Anolis sagrei: one gene and its partners. The protein of the gene in region 3 interacts with the protein of the main gene of each other region in a pairwise test. Links are inferred from orthologs where the notes say so. Each region holds a gene or a part of one and is shown on either strand. Other genes may lie near its edges. The genes, in order: PPP1R18, MAPKBP1 and TEX11.

Region 1 (3,751 bases), on a different chromosome or scaffold from region 3:
CAAGCCCCGCCCCCTTTTCATTGTCCTCCCCTCTCCTGTTTATACACAAAGACCCCCGCCTGCCCCGGTCTCCTCCTCCTCCCCCTCCCCTTCCTCCGCTCTTTCTTTCTTTCTCTTCTTTCTCCTTCTTCCCAATCTTTCCTCTCTTCTCTCTCTTCCCCCTTTTTCTCCCTCTCTTTCTTTTGCCTCCCTTTCCTCCCTTTTTCCCCTCCCAGTTTTTCCATCCTGGGTTAAAATAGGATTTGAGCCATGGGGCTGGGAGGTGGAGCTCGGCAGAGGATTTAAAAAAGCGGGTGTGCAAAGGGATTGAGAGAGAGAGAGAGAGAGAATCATTATTTTTCGCCTTCTCTCTCTCTCTATGTTCCTCGTTCTCTCTGAAAGGAGGAGAAAAAACTTCTTGGGAAGCAGCAAAAGGAAGGAGGTGGAGAGAGGAAAGAAAGAGAAGAGAAATCGGAAAGGAGGAGGAGGAGAGGAAGAGGAAGAAAGGAGGAGGAGGAAAGCAAGAGAAGAAGACAGAAAGAGGAGGAAAATAGGAGGAAGGAAGGAAGAGAGGAAGAAGAAAGGGAGGAGGAGAGGAGGAGGAAGGAAGGAGGAGAGGAATAAGGAAGAAAGAGAAGGAGGAGAGCAGAAGAGGAAGACAGAAAGAGGAGGAGAATAAGAGGAAGGAAGGAGGAGAGGAATAAGAAAGAGGAGGAGGAGAATAAGAGAAGGAGAAGAGGAAGACAGAAAGAAGAGGAGAAGAGGAGGGAAGAAAGAGAAGAAAAAGGGGAAAAAGAAGGAGAATAGGAGGGAAGAAGAAGAAGAAAAAGAGGGGGAGGAAGAAAAGAGGAGAATAGGAGGAAGAAAGGAGAAGAATAAGAAAGAGGGAAAGAAAGGAGGAGGAGGGAGGAAGAAGGAGAAGAATAAGAAAGAGGGGAGGTAGAAAGGAGAAGAATAAGAAAGAGGAAGAAAGGAGAAGGAGAATAGGAGGAAGGAAAGAAGAGAAGAATAAGAAAGAGGAGGGAGGGAGGAAGAAGGAGAAGAATAAGAAAGGGGGGGAAAAGGAAGGAGAAGGAGAGTAAGATAAGGAGAAGAGGAAGACAGAAAGAGGAGGAGAAAGGAAGAGGGAGACGAATAAGAAAAAGGAGGAGGAAGAAAGGAAAGGAGGGGAATAAGAGCAGGAGAAGAGGAAGACAGGACGAGGAGAAGAAGAGGAGGGAGGAAGGAAGAGAAGGATAAGAAAGAGGAGGAGGAGGAAAGGAAGAAAAGAGGAAGGAGGAGGGGGCGGAAAGGGACTGACTAACCAAACCCTTCCTCTGGCAAGGCAGCCCTGACTCAGATCCTCCACCCGAATCTCCTCCCTTCTTTCTCTTGCTTTGAGGGACAGAGAGTGGCAGTCAAGAAAAGGAACTTCTCATCCAGCTGGGATCATCTGCACTTCTTCCTCAGAGATGGACCCAGCGGAGGACCCAGCCCACCTTCTGCCCCACATCTCTTGGACCACCTTGGTTTGATAGTGAGTAGGGAATCCTTGTTTTGTTTTGTTTTGTTTTGTTGGCCCCGAGAGATTATATGGGGATTTCCAAGCGGGCTAAGAACCTTAACAAAATCTCCTTCCAAGATCTCCCAAGGGTTCTCATTCTTCGGAGTTGGCCTACTTATGTGTGTGGACAACCCATGCTGATACCGGTTCAGTTCCTCTGATTGTGAGGCGCCAAGACGGAAAGGGATCAGGAGACACAAGGAGGGGAAGAAAGAGCAGGAGAGTCTTGGATAGAGATCCTCTGCCCTCTCTTTCTATGGCTTATCCTTAGTCCTATATTGTTTTCATCCATTGATCAAAGGGATCTTTGATCTTTTATCCCTTCTCAAGATGCTGGGATTCGGTCGTTACTGGAATATATCTTCCTTGTTTTTATTTTTCCCAAAATGAATTAGAAAATCATAGAATCCGAGAGTTGGAAGAGACCTCGTGGGCCAACCAGTCCAACCCCCTGCCAAGAAGCAGGAAAATCGCATTCAAATCGCTCTCATCACCTGAATTCTTGGAATTCTCTGGATATAAGGGGTTCTTGTTGTGTGAAAATCCGCTCATCTGGCTGCTTCCATCCCTCGGATGCCTGGATCCGATCTCTGCTGGGATTTGAGCTGATCTTCCCCGCTGCCTTTGTTTCCTCCTCAGGAATCCTCGCTTTTGACCCAGTTAAGAACTTCAAAAGGCAGCGCTGGGTACCAAAGTCAATTTAGCATCCTCACCTGTCACTGTTGGTTTTTGCAGGCGTTTGAACTCCTGGGATTGCTTGAAATTTGGAAACATCGAGATCCTATTACAGTAGGTTTGTATTTTTTTCTCCCCTTATGTATGTCCTTCTTATGGTTCCCATGCTCTTCCTCCCTCCTTGCAAGATTTGTTTACCTTTTCAGTCTTAAAGTGCAGCAGCCTGACATGATAATGTTATTTCAATGTGTTGTCGAAGGCTTTCAGGGCTGGAATCACTGGGTTGCTGTGAGTTTTCCAGGCTGTATGGCCATGTTCCAGAAGCATTCTCTCCTGACGTTTTGCCCACATCCTCAGAGGATGCCTGCCATAGATGCAGGGGTGGCTCAACCCATTACGCAAAGTAAGCATTTGCAGTATAGTTGATTTTGCCCAGGGGCGCTCTTGAGGCGCTCTTGGGGGAAAATAGACCTTGACATATGCGAGTTGTAGTTACTGGGATGTATAGTTCACCTACAATCAAAGAGCATTCTGAACTCTACCAATGATGGAATTGAACCAAATATGGCACACACAACTCCCATGACGAACAGTAAATATATATCAGTGATTGGTGGGGGCGGAGGGGGCAAAATACTGTTTGCTTACTGTTGAAAATTATCTAGGGCCGCCTTTGCATAGATGTGTATGAAACCTCAGGAGAGAATGCTTCTGGAACATGGCCATACAGCCCAGAAAACTCACAGAAACCCAATGTTATTTAAGGTATTTAATAATACTGGACACTATGTTAAATATCATTTTATTTATTTATTTACTAGCCGCCCTCTGACATGCATTGCTGTGGCCTTGTCTGTGTATATGTGTTTTTGTGTGTATATATTTGTGTACATATGTGTGTGTTTGCGTATATGTATGTGGTTTTGCGCATGCGTTGTAATGTATTTTTTTTATTTTTTGGCTTTTTAAGTCCCTTCCAATATGTTTCCCAGTGTTTTTATGAGTGATGGTCACTCACAGATAGGTGCATTGTGTCCAAATTTGGTGTCAATTCACCCAGTGGTTCTTGAGTTATGTTAATCCCACAAACGAACATTACATTTTTATTTATATAAACTAGCCATGCCCTGCCACGCGTTGCTGTGGCCCAGTCTGTGTATATGTCTTTGTGTGTATGTATGTGCATATATATTTGTGTATATGTGTATATATGTGTTTTTGCACTTGCATTGTAATGTATTTTTTTCTTCTGCTGTGTTTTTCAGGGTTTTTATGAGTGATGTTCACTTGTTGGTCAGATAGGTGCATTGTGTCCAAATTTGGTGTCAGTTCATCAAGTGGATTTTGAGTTATATTAATCCCACAAACAAGCATTACATGTTTATTTATATAGATTATTTATTATTATTTTAAAATAGTAGTGTCATGTTTATATTTTTCATAAATACATATTAATCACCACTACTCAGTGGCTGGGCGCATAAGGTTCTATGTAACCTCTTAAAGCCAAATCCACTTGCCATTCTAAATTCAGATTAAAGGAACTTCTCTTCC
Region 2 (3,751 bases), on a different chromosome or scaffold from region 3:
GTACAGCAAACTACAAATCCCAGAATTCTACTGCGCGAGCCATGGCAGTTAAAAGTCATGTCAAACTGTTATAATTCTGCATTGTGGTCTGAAGTAACAATGCATGCACACCTTGCTGCAGTCTTTAAACTGGCAATAACAGAAAACAGAAGCCAGCCCTACAATCAAAGTCTGGCAGCCAGATGAAGACAGCAGCATTTTCATGCAGGTTTTCTATTTCAACCTTCAGCGTATATACACTTTTTTGCACACACACACACACACACCCCGCCTACCCTTATCCCTTCTTGATGGAGGGGAAAATCACCAGGTGCCAAGAGAAGCAGAAGCCTCAGGCCTCAAACCCTCTTATTCTTTTGGTGACAAAGCTCAGTAAAGGTAGAAAAGCTCAGCAAATACTTTCCAAATTCCCTGGAAGACATTCACAGTGCCTTTGACTCCTCCTGCCCACAAAGGCAAGAATTGCAAGTCAGCAGCGCAGAGGGAGAATAAACCAACCTTAAGCATAAGGAGGAGAAAGCTGAAGAGTCTACCAGAAAACTATATATATGTGTTTGCCTTCTTTTTGTCCCTTTAAAATAGTGTGCGCACCTGTGTTTTAATTTAAAGGGACAGAAAGAATATATGTGTGTGTGTGTAGCGACAGAAGGGAGACATAGTGGGTATATTTATAAAAAGTAAAGGTTCCCCCTGACATTAAGTCTAATTGTGTCTGACTCTGGGGTGGTGCTCACCTCCATTTCTAAGTTGAAGAGCTGGCATTCTCCGTAGACACCTCCAAGGTCATGTGGCCGGCATGACTGCATGGAGCGCCGTTACCTTCCCGCCGGAGCGGTACCTATTGATCTACTCACATTTGCATGTTTTTGAACTGCTAGGTTGGCAGAAGCTGTGGCTAACAGCGTGAGTTCACCCCACTCTCCAGATTCGAACCACCAAACCTTTCAGTCAGCAAGTTCAGCAGCTCAGCAGTTTAGCCCGCTGTGCAGGGGGGGGGGGCGCTCCATGCAGTCATGCTGGCCACATGACCTTGGAGGTGTCTACGGACAATGCTGGCTCTTCGGCTTAGAAATGGAGATGAACACCACACCCCAGAGTCAGACATGACTGGACTTAATGTCAGGGGACTACCTTTACCTTTACCTTATATATATATATGGGACAGAAAAAGGCTATATATATAGATATAGATAGATATATATCTTAAAGGAACAGAATGAAGGCATTATAAACACACACATATATATGAAACTTAAAGGCACAGAAGTAAGGCACAGTGTATATGTGGATATACACTATATATATACATATATATATATATATATATATAGGGACAAAAGAACATACATATATGTTAGATTGACATCTAAAGAAACAGAATGAAGACATATACAGGGACAAAAAAAGGCATATTATACATATATATACACATATATACATAATGTGTGTGTGTGTATATATATAGAGAGAGAGAGAGAGAATAGGGCTCCACAGTCACCTACGAACCCACCGCCAGGACACCGAAGTTGGAGGACCATCATCCTCGGACTACGAGGGATCGCCTAAGTAAGTAAGTAATATATAGATACACAATCATATATATATATATAATGTGTATGTGTGTGTGCGTGTGTATATATATGTAATGTGTATATGATGCCTTGTTCCTGTCCCTGTATATGTGTTTGTGTATTTAAACGGACAGAAGGGCTATCTATCTATCTATCTATATATATATATATATATATATATGGGTACAGAAACAAGGCATTATATATACACACACACATATACACTATGCCTTATTTCTGTCCCTACTCACACACACACACACACACACATATATATAATTTAGAGCGTCAGAAGGAAGGCACATTTTCTTATTTTTATCTATAGATTTCGATTTAAATCAGGCATGGGCCAACTTGGGCCCTCCTTCCAGGTGTTTTGGACTTGAACTCCCACCATTCCTAACAGCCTCAGGCCCCTTCCTTTTCCCCCTCAGCCGCTTAAGCGGCTGAGGGGGAAAAGGAAAGGGCCTGAGGCTGTTAGGAATGGTGGGAGTTCAAGTCCAAAACACCTGGAAAGAGGGCCCAAGTTGGCCCATGCCTGATTTAAAGAGACAGGCAGGAATGAATCCCAAACCTTTGTTACCTGGGCGAAGAGGCAGCCTGGCTTTAAGGGCGGGAGAGGGACGACGGGAGAGAGGCTTTCCCCTCCTGGATGTCCATCCCTGCAGCCCGGCCTTCCTCCTCTGGAAAGGCTTCCCAATCCAATCGTAGAGAGCTGCTTCGGGGAGCGATAGGGAGAGGAGGCGGTGCGGGGAGAGAGAGAGAGAGAAGCCTTCAAACCACTCGGAGAAGCAGTCTGTCAGGGATTTCAAAAATGCAGAGGGAGGGAGGAAGCGGTGGCGCAACGCGGGTCCATTCCAGCCCTTCCTCCGCCTCCTTTCCTTCCTTGCAGGCTCGGGGCTCCCTTCTTCCCTCCCGCTCCGTGCTTCCCCTCCCGTCGTCTCTCGGCGTCTGGCTGCGGGATTCACCCTGACAGCTCCCAGCCAGCCAGAGTCCGACGCGGCTACGGTGGCCCACGCGGACCAAATCGCTAAACCGAGGGAGGAGGAGAGCGCTGCGAAGGGAGGGAGGGGGAAGAGCGGCAAATCTGCCAAGAGGAAAAATCTGCATCGAGAGAAAGGGTGGGCGCTTCAAGGTCCACCCCCCTGGAAGGAAGAATGCGGTTGTTTTTTTTTCTGGAGAAAGAAAAGCTCAGCACCATCACACGCTCAACACACCCCCTCCGATTGCCTCCTCTACACTGTAGAATTAACGCAGTTTGACACCGCTTGAAGTGCCACGGCTCATTCCTATAGAATCCTTGGAGTTGTAGCATGGATCTTTGTCTTTACTCTCCTGGTTTGTTCTTGGAAGGTAAAGACAAAGATCCGAATCCGGGGAGTGGGGTGAGCTCACGCTGTTAGCCCCAGCTTCTGCCAACCTAGCAGTTCGAAATCCTTGGAGTTGTAGCATGGATCTTTGTCTTTACTCTCCTGGCTTCTTCTTGGAAGGTAAAGACAAAATCCGAATCCGGAGAGTGGGGTGAGCTCACGCTGTTAGCCCCAGCTTCTGCCAACCTAGCAGTTCGAAAAAACACGCAAATGTGAGTAGATCAATAGGCACCACTCTGCCGGGAAGGTAACGGCGCTCCATGCAGTCATGCTGGCCACATGACCTTGGAGGTGTCTATGGGCAACGCCCGCAATTCGGCTTAGAAATGGAGGGGGGCACCAAACCCCAGAGTCAGACACTGGAATTAATGTCAGGGGAAAACCTTTACCTTACCTTGGAGTTGTAGCTTGGATCTTTGTCTTTACTCTCCATGCCAGCCACATGACCTTGGAGGTGCCTATGGACAAAGACGGCTCTTCGGCACCAACCCCCAGAGTCGGACACAACTAGACTTAATGTCAGTGGAAAACCTTTACCTTTACCTAAAGACAAAGATCCACCCAGAGGAAAAGTTTTCTTACCATGCATCGGGGAACCACTCAGGCATGTAGCGGGGGGGGGGGGGGGGCGCTCAGGGAACTTCAGCCCCCCCCCCCCCCCCCCCCCCCGAAATTCTCATGGTGGTTCGCAAAAAGGCCTTACTGGTGCATTACTTAAACTGTTATGTTTATTCATATCATTATCTCATCACCATACTCAATATATCCCATATGCATGGGGGTATTGGGGTAATGATACAAAAGGTTTGC
Region 3 (3,751 bases):
TACAAACGGCAAACATTCAATACTGGGACATTAATTCATTATAGGCATACATAAACATTAAAAACATTTGTCTCAATATTAAAATACACTGTTTAAAACCGTCTTGATCATCTGTGTCTAATCTAATTGGCCTGGTAAGGTTTCCTGTCCCTGCTTTATTGCACTGTCCTGAAAACTGGGTCCACAACCAATTTTTACTATCCTTCTGAAGGACAGGAAGGAGGTGGGCGAGCTGATCTCACCAGAAAAACCTCATTATTCAGTTGCTTTTCAGAACCAGTTTTATTTTTCTGAAAGGTTTTAAAGCATATTGAAAGGAAAGTATGGCATTCAATATTTCACCAAATAACCAAGAGAAAAAGCCATTTCCCTCATTCTGTGTGGTTAGAATCTACACAGCAAGGGTGTGTCTATACCATGTCACAAATACTTTTTTAAAAACTTTAAGAAGCATTCAAAAGGTTATTTCCTTTCATTCACAATGAGACAGAGTATACTACAAAGAAAGAAGGTAGACACATGCAGATTCTATAGCTAACTTGGTACAAAAAGGGAAATTACATTTCCTCAGTATTCAAACACATATAAACATTCATTCATCGCCATGCTCACATTCAGAGATCTTTACCAATGTTTGTACTATTTGTACCTGGGCCTTCTCCCTCTCATTTATACTTTTTTTATTCACTTGTTCTATATCCCTGAACAGCTTCTCAGTGTCTTCTTGTACATCAGATGAGGCTTTGCTGCTCATCAGTTTTTCAATGAGCTCTGCAATTAAAAGCAACAACAAAAGCCAAAGTAAGTTATACAGTAGCTTTCAAGGCAATGTATCATTTTCAAACAAACCAGCCTGTTTACATTTTCTAACTTTCAAAACAAACAGGAAACAAACAAGAAACCAAGCACATTGGAGGAAACAACAAAAGAAACCTTTAAAAGGAAACACGTTGCATGAAGACTTGGACATTCTAGGGTTAAGTACCGTACCTAGAAAATCTGAAAAATTTAAGGTATCCCAACTTTTCATCATTTAATATTAAAACATATTAATGATCAATGCTATACTATGAGCCTTTTAAAAAAATTGTAGAACATGGCTTTGAGCAATGGTTCACAACAATTTTTGTGGCCCTGTCCCTCCTAAGCCTCTCTAAAACCCTGATACCCTCCTTTTGACATATAATTATTATTATTCCAAAAGCAAGCTCCTATTTATTCAGATGGAGGAACACTCAAAGGCCATGAATATATTGGTCTAAACAAGCTTCCAAAGGACATGAACACAATGCAAGAGGAAACCAAAAGGACAAAAAGATAGCTGAAGTACTAAGGAAGAAATTGTTAAAATAATAACAATATAAATAATATCAATAGTGATAACGACAATAGTATTCACACGAAGAAGAAGATAAAGACAAGGAGGAAGAGGAAGAACAAATCTTGGGGAATTTGCCATTTATCAATGAGGGAATAATGACATTTTCATGTGGATCCTATGCTTTATAAGTGAGGAGGAGGAGGAGGAGGAGGAGGAGGAGGAGGAGGAGGAGGAGAAGGAGAAGGAGAAGGAGAAGGAGAAGAAGAGGAAGAAGAAGAAGAGGAAGAAGAAGAAGAAGAAGAAGAAGAAGAAGAAGAAGACGACGACAATGGCGACAACGACTCTGGCACAAGCCAGTAAAGGTGATCCCAGTGGTGATTGGCACACTGGGTGCAGTGCCTAAAGACCTTGGCCTGCATTTAAAAACAATTGGCACTGACAAAATTACCATCTGTCAGCTGCAAAAGGTCACCCTACTCGGATCTGCGCGCATTATTTGGCAATACATCACACAGTCTTAGACACTTGGGAAGTGTTGTACATGTGATCAAATACAAAAGCCAGCATAGTGATCTCGTTTGCTGTGTACCATTCTTGTTATGCATCTAATAATAATAATAATAATAATTTATTTCTTACCCGCTTCTCCTTGTGGTTCGATGTAATAACAAACCCTATAAAACTTAGAACTCTACATACAAATTAAGTGTTTTAATATGTGTATTTTATAGAATGATTAAGATGTTTATATGTTTTTAGCTATGTTGTAATGCACCTCGAGCCATGAAGAAAGGCGAATAATAATAATAATAATAATAATAATAGTATTAAATAAACTTTGATCACAACTTTGTGATAATTAATGCTACCATTCTCCAACTTTACTCAAAATTATGTTCCCGGAGCTTTTTCCATCTTTTTTGTGACACGTTTGGTTTTCTTTTGTCATAAAGAGACACAGACAGTGAATCTGGGTCCAAAGCTTCAGCTTCTGAGCTTTCTGACATGACGGTTGTTGTCATTTGTTGATGGTGAATGATACGTCATGTTCTTCCTATCATCATTCTCTATTCAAATATAACACAGATGTTTTAAGGAGCCAGCAAGAGATCAGGAAGAATAAGTGGGAATGGAAAATGTGAGATTTTTAGACTCGAACCTGATGAAGAATGAGGGTTTTTTTTGTTCCTGAAACACTTTGTGCTGGATAAAAGTTACCACAAGTCATGAACTACAATACTACAATGAGTGTGCGACAACTGCATCAAATTCAGTGTAACCGAAGTGTTCTGTTTCCTTGCAAAGTGCATTCGGTGAGAAGAGATAATAATATATCCTGTCACCCAATATTCATTTTTTTGCGGCTGATCCTCTTTGCTTTCTTTGTTTCATACAAAAATAGACTCTCTAATTAAAGTAATAATTATACTTTGGAGTTTCCCGACCCCCCTCTCACAGATTTCTTGCCACATTCATATGCAGAACAGAAAGTATTTGATATTTTGCACCTTTGATTTCCATGATCTGTTTTCCTCTTCAGGATTCGATTCGCAAAAGGAACACCTTTGAAATGAAAAAGAAATAACATTAGCATGTTTATCCACTTGTTTTGCCTACTGTTCTTGATTGTACCCTTTGCCATTTCATATCTGTATTTTAACGACCTTATGTTTTTTATTTTAACTATGTAACTTTGGCTCATGAGAAGAGGCCAGTAACAAAGCAAATATATTATCATTATTATTATTATTATTATTATTATTATTATTATTATTATTATCTTTCCAAAGACATCTCTAAAGTAATTTTAATTAATTTGTTTTTCTCTGTTAATGTTGAATTAGGCAGCTGTTTTGGCAAGACTCATAAAAGGGTTGAAGGCAGAAGATAAATATTTCAACAACATAGGTTTCTTCACATATGAAGCTCCATAGATATAGATATAATAATACAGTAATAATGATGATGATTATTATCATCATAATCATCATCTCTCTACTAGATACAATAATAATAATAATGAATTTATTGCTGCCTTTACCTACTTGATATAGATATAATGACGACGACGACGACGATGAATTTGTTACCCGCCTCTCCCTACTAGATATAGATAAAATAATAATAAGAAGAATGCATTTATTACCCACCTCTTCCTTCTAGATATATAGCTATAACAACAATAATAATGAATTTATTCCCTGCCTCTCCCTGCTAGATATATAAATATAATAATATTAATAATAGTATTAATAAAAAAGCTACCTGCCTCTTCCTAATAGGTACAGATATAATAATAATAATGCATTTGTTACCTACCTCTCCCTGCTAGATATAGATAATATAATTATAATAACAATAATAAATTTATTAACTGTCTCTTCCTGCTAGTTATAGATCTAGATATAATAATAATAAATTTGTTACCTG

The links.
Region 1: the proteins of TEX11 (region 3) and PPP1R18 interact in binary tests that used the Homo sapiens proteins (3 or more experiments, as listed by UniProt). The two-hybrid records come from large-scale screens. The link is inferred for Anolis sagrei from reciprocal best matches to the Homo sapiens genes TEX11 and PPP1R18.
Region 2: the proteins of TEX11 (region 3) and MAPKBP1 interact in binary tests that used the Homo sapiens proteins (3 or more experiments, as listed by UniProt). The two-hybrid records come from large-scale screens. The link is inferred for Anolis sagrei from reciprocal best matches to the Homo sapiens genes TEX11 and MAPKBP1.

Annotation. Positions count from the first base shown.
Region 1 is NC_090022.1:23,670,061-23,673,811, forward strand, and holds the start of PPP1R18 (phostensin), read left to right. Parts: upstream 1-1,383; 5' UTR 1,384-1,495; intron 1,496-2,257; 5' UTR 2,258-2,311; exon of another isoform or gene 2,312-2,315; intron 2,316-3,751.
Region 2 is NC_090021.1:288,091,009-288,094,759, forward strand, and holds the start of MAPKBP1 (mitogen-activated protein kinase-binding protein 1), read right to left. Parts: upstream 2,454-3,751; 5' UTR 2,155-2,453; intron 1-2,154. UniProt on the Homo sapiens protein: Negative regulator of NOD2 function. It down-regulates NOD2-induced processes such as activation of NF-kappa-B signaling, IL8 secretion and antibacterial response. Involved in JNK signaling pathway.
Region 3 is NC_090030.1:21,733,005-21,736,755, forward strand, and holds the start of TEX11 (testis-expressed protein 11), read right to left. Parts: upstream 2,843-3,751; coding exon 2,830-2,842; intron 772-2,829; coding exon 650-771; intron 1-649. UniProt on the Homo sapiens protein: Regulator of crossing-over during meiosis. Involved in initiation and/or maintenance of chromosome synapsis and formation of crossovers.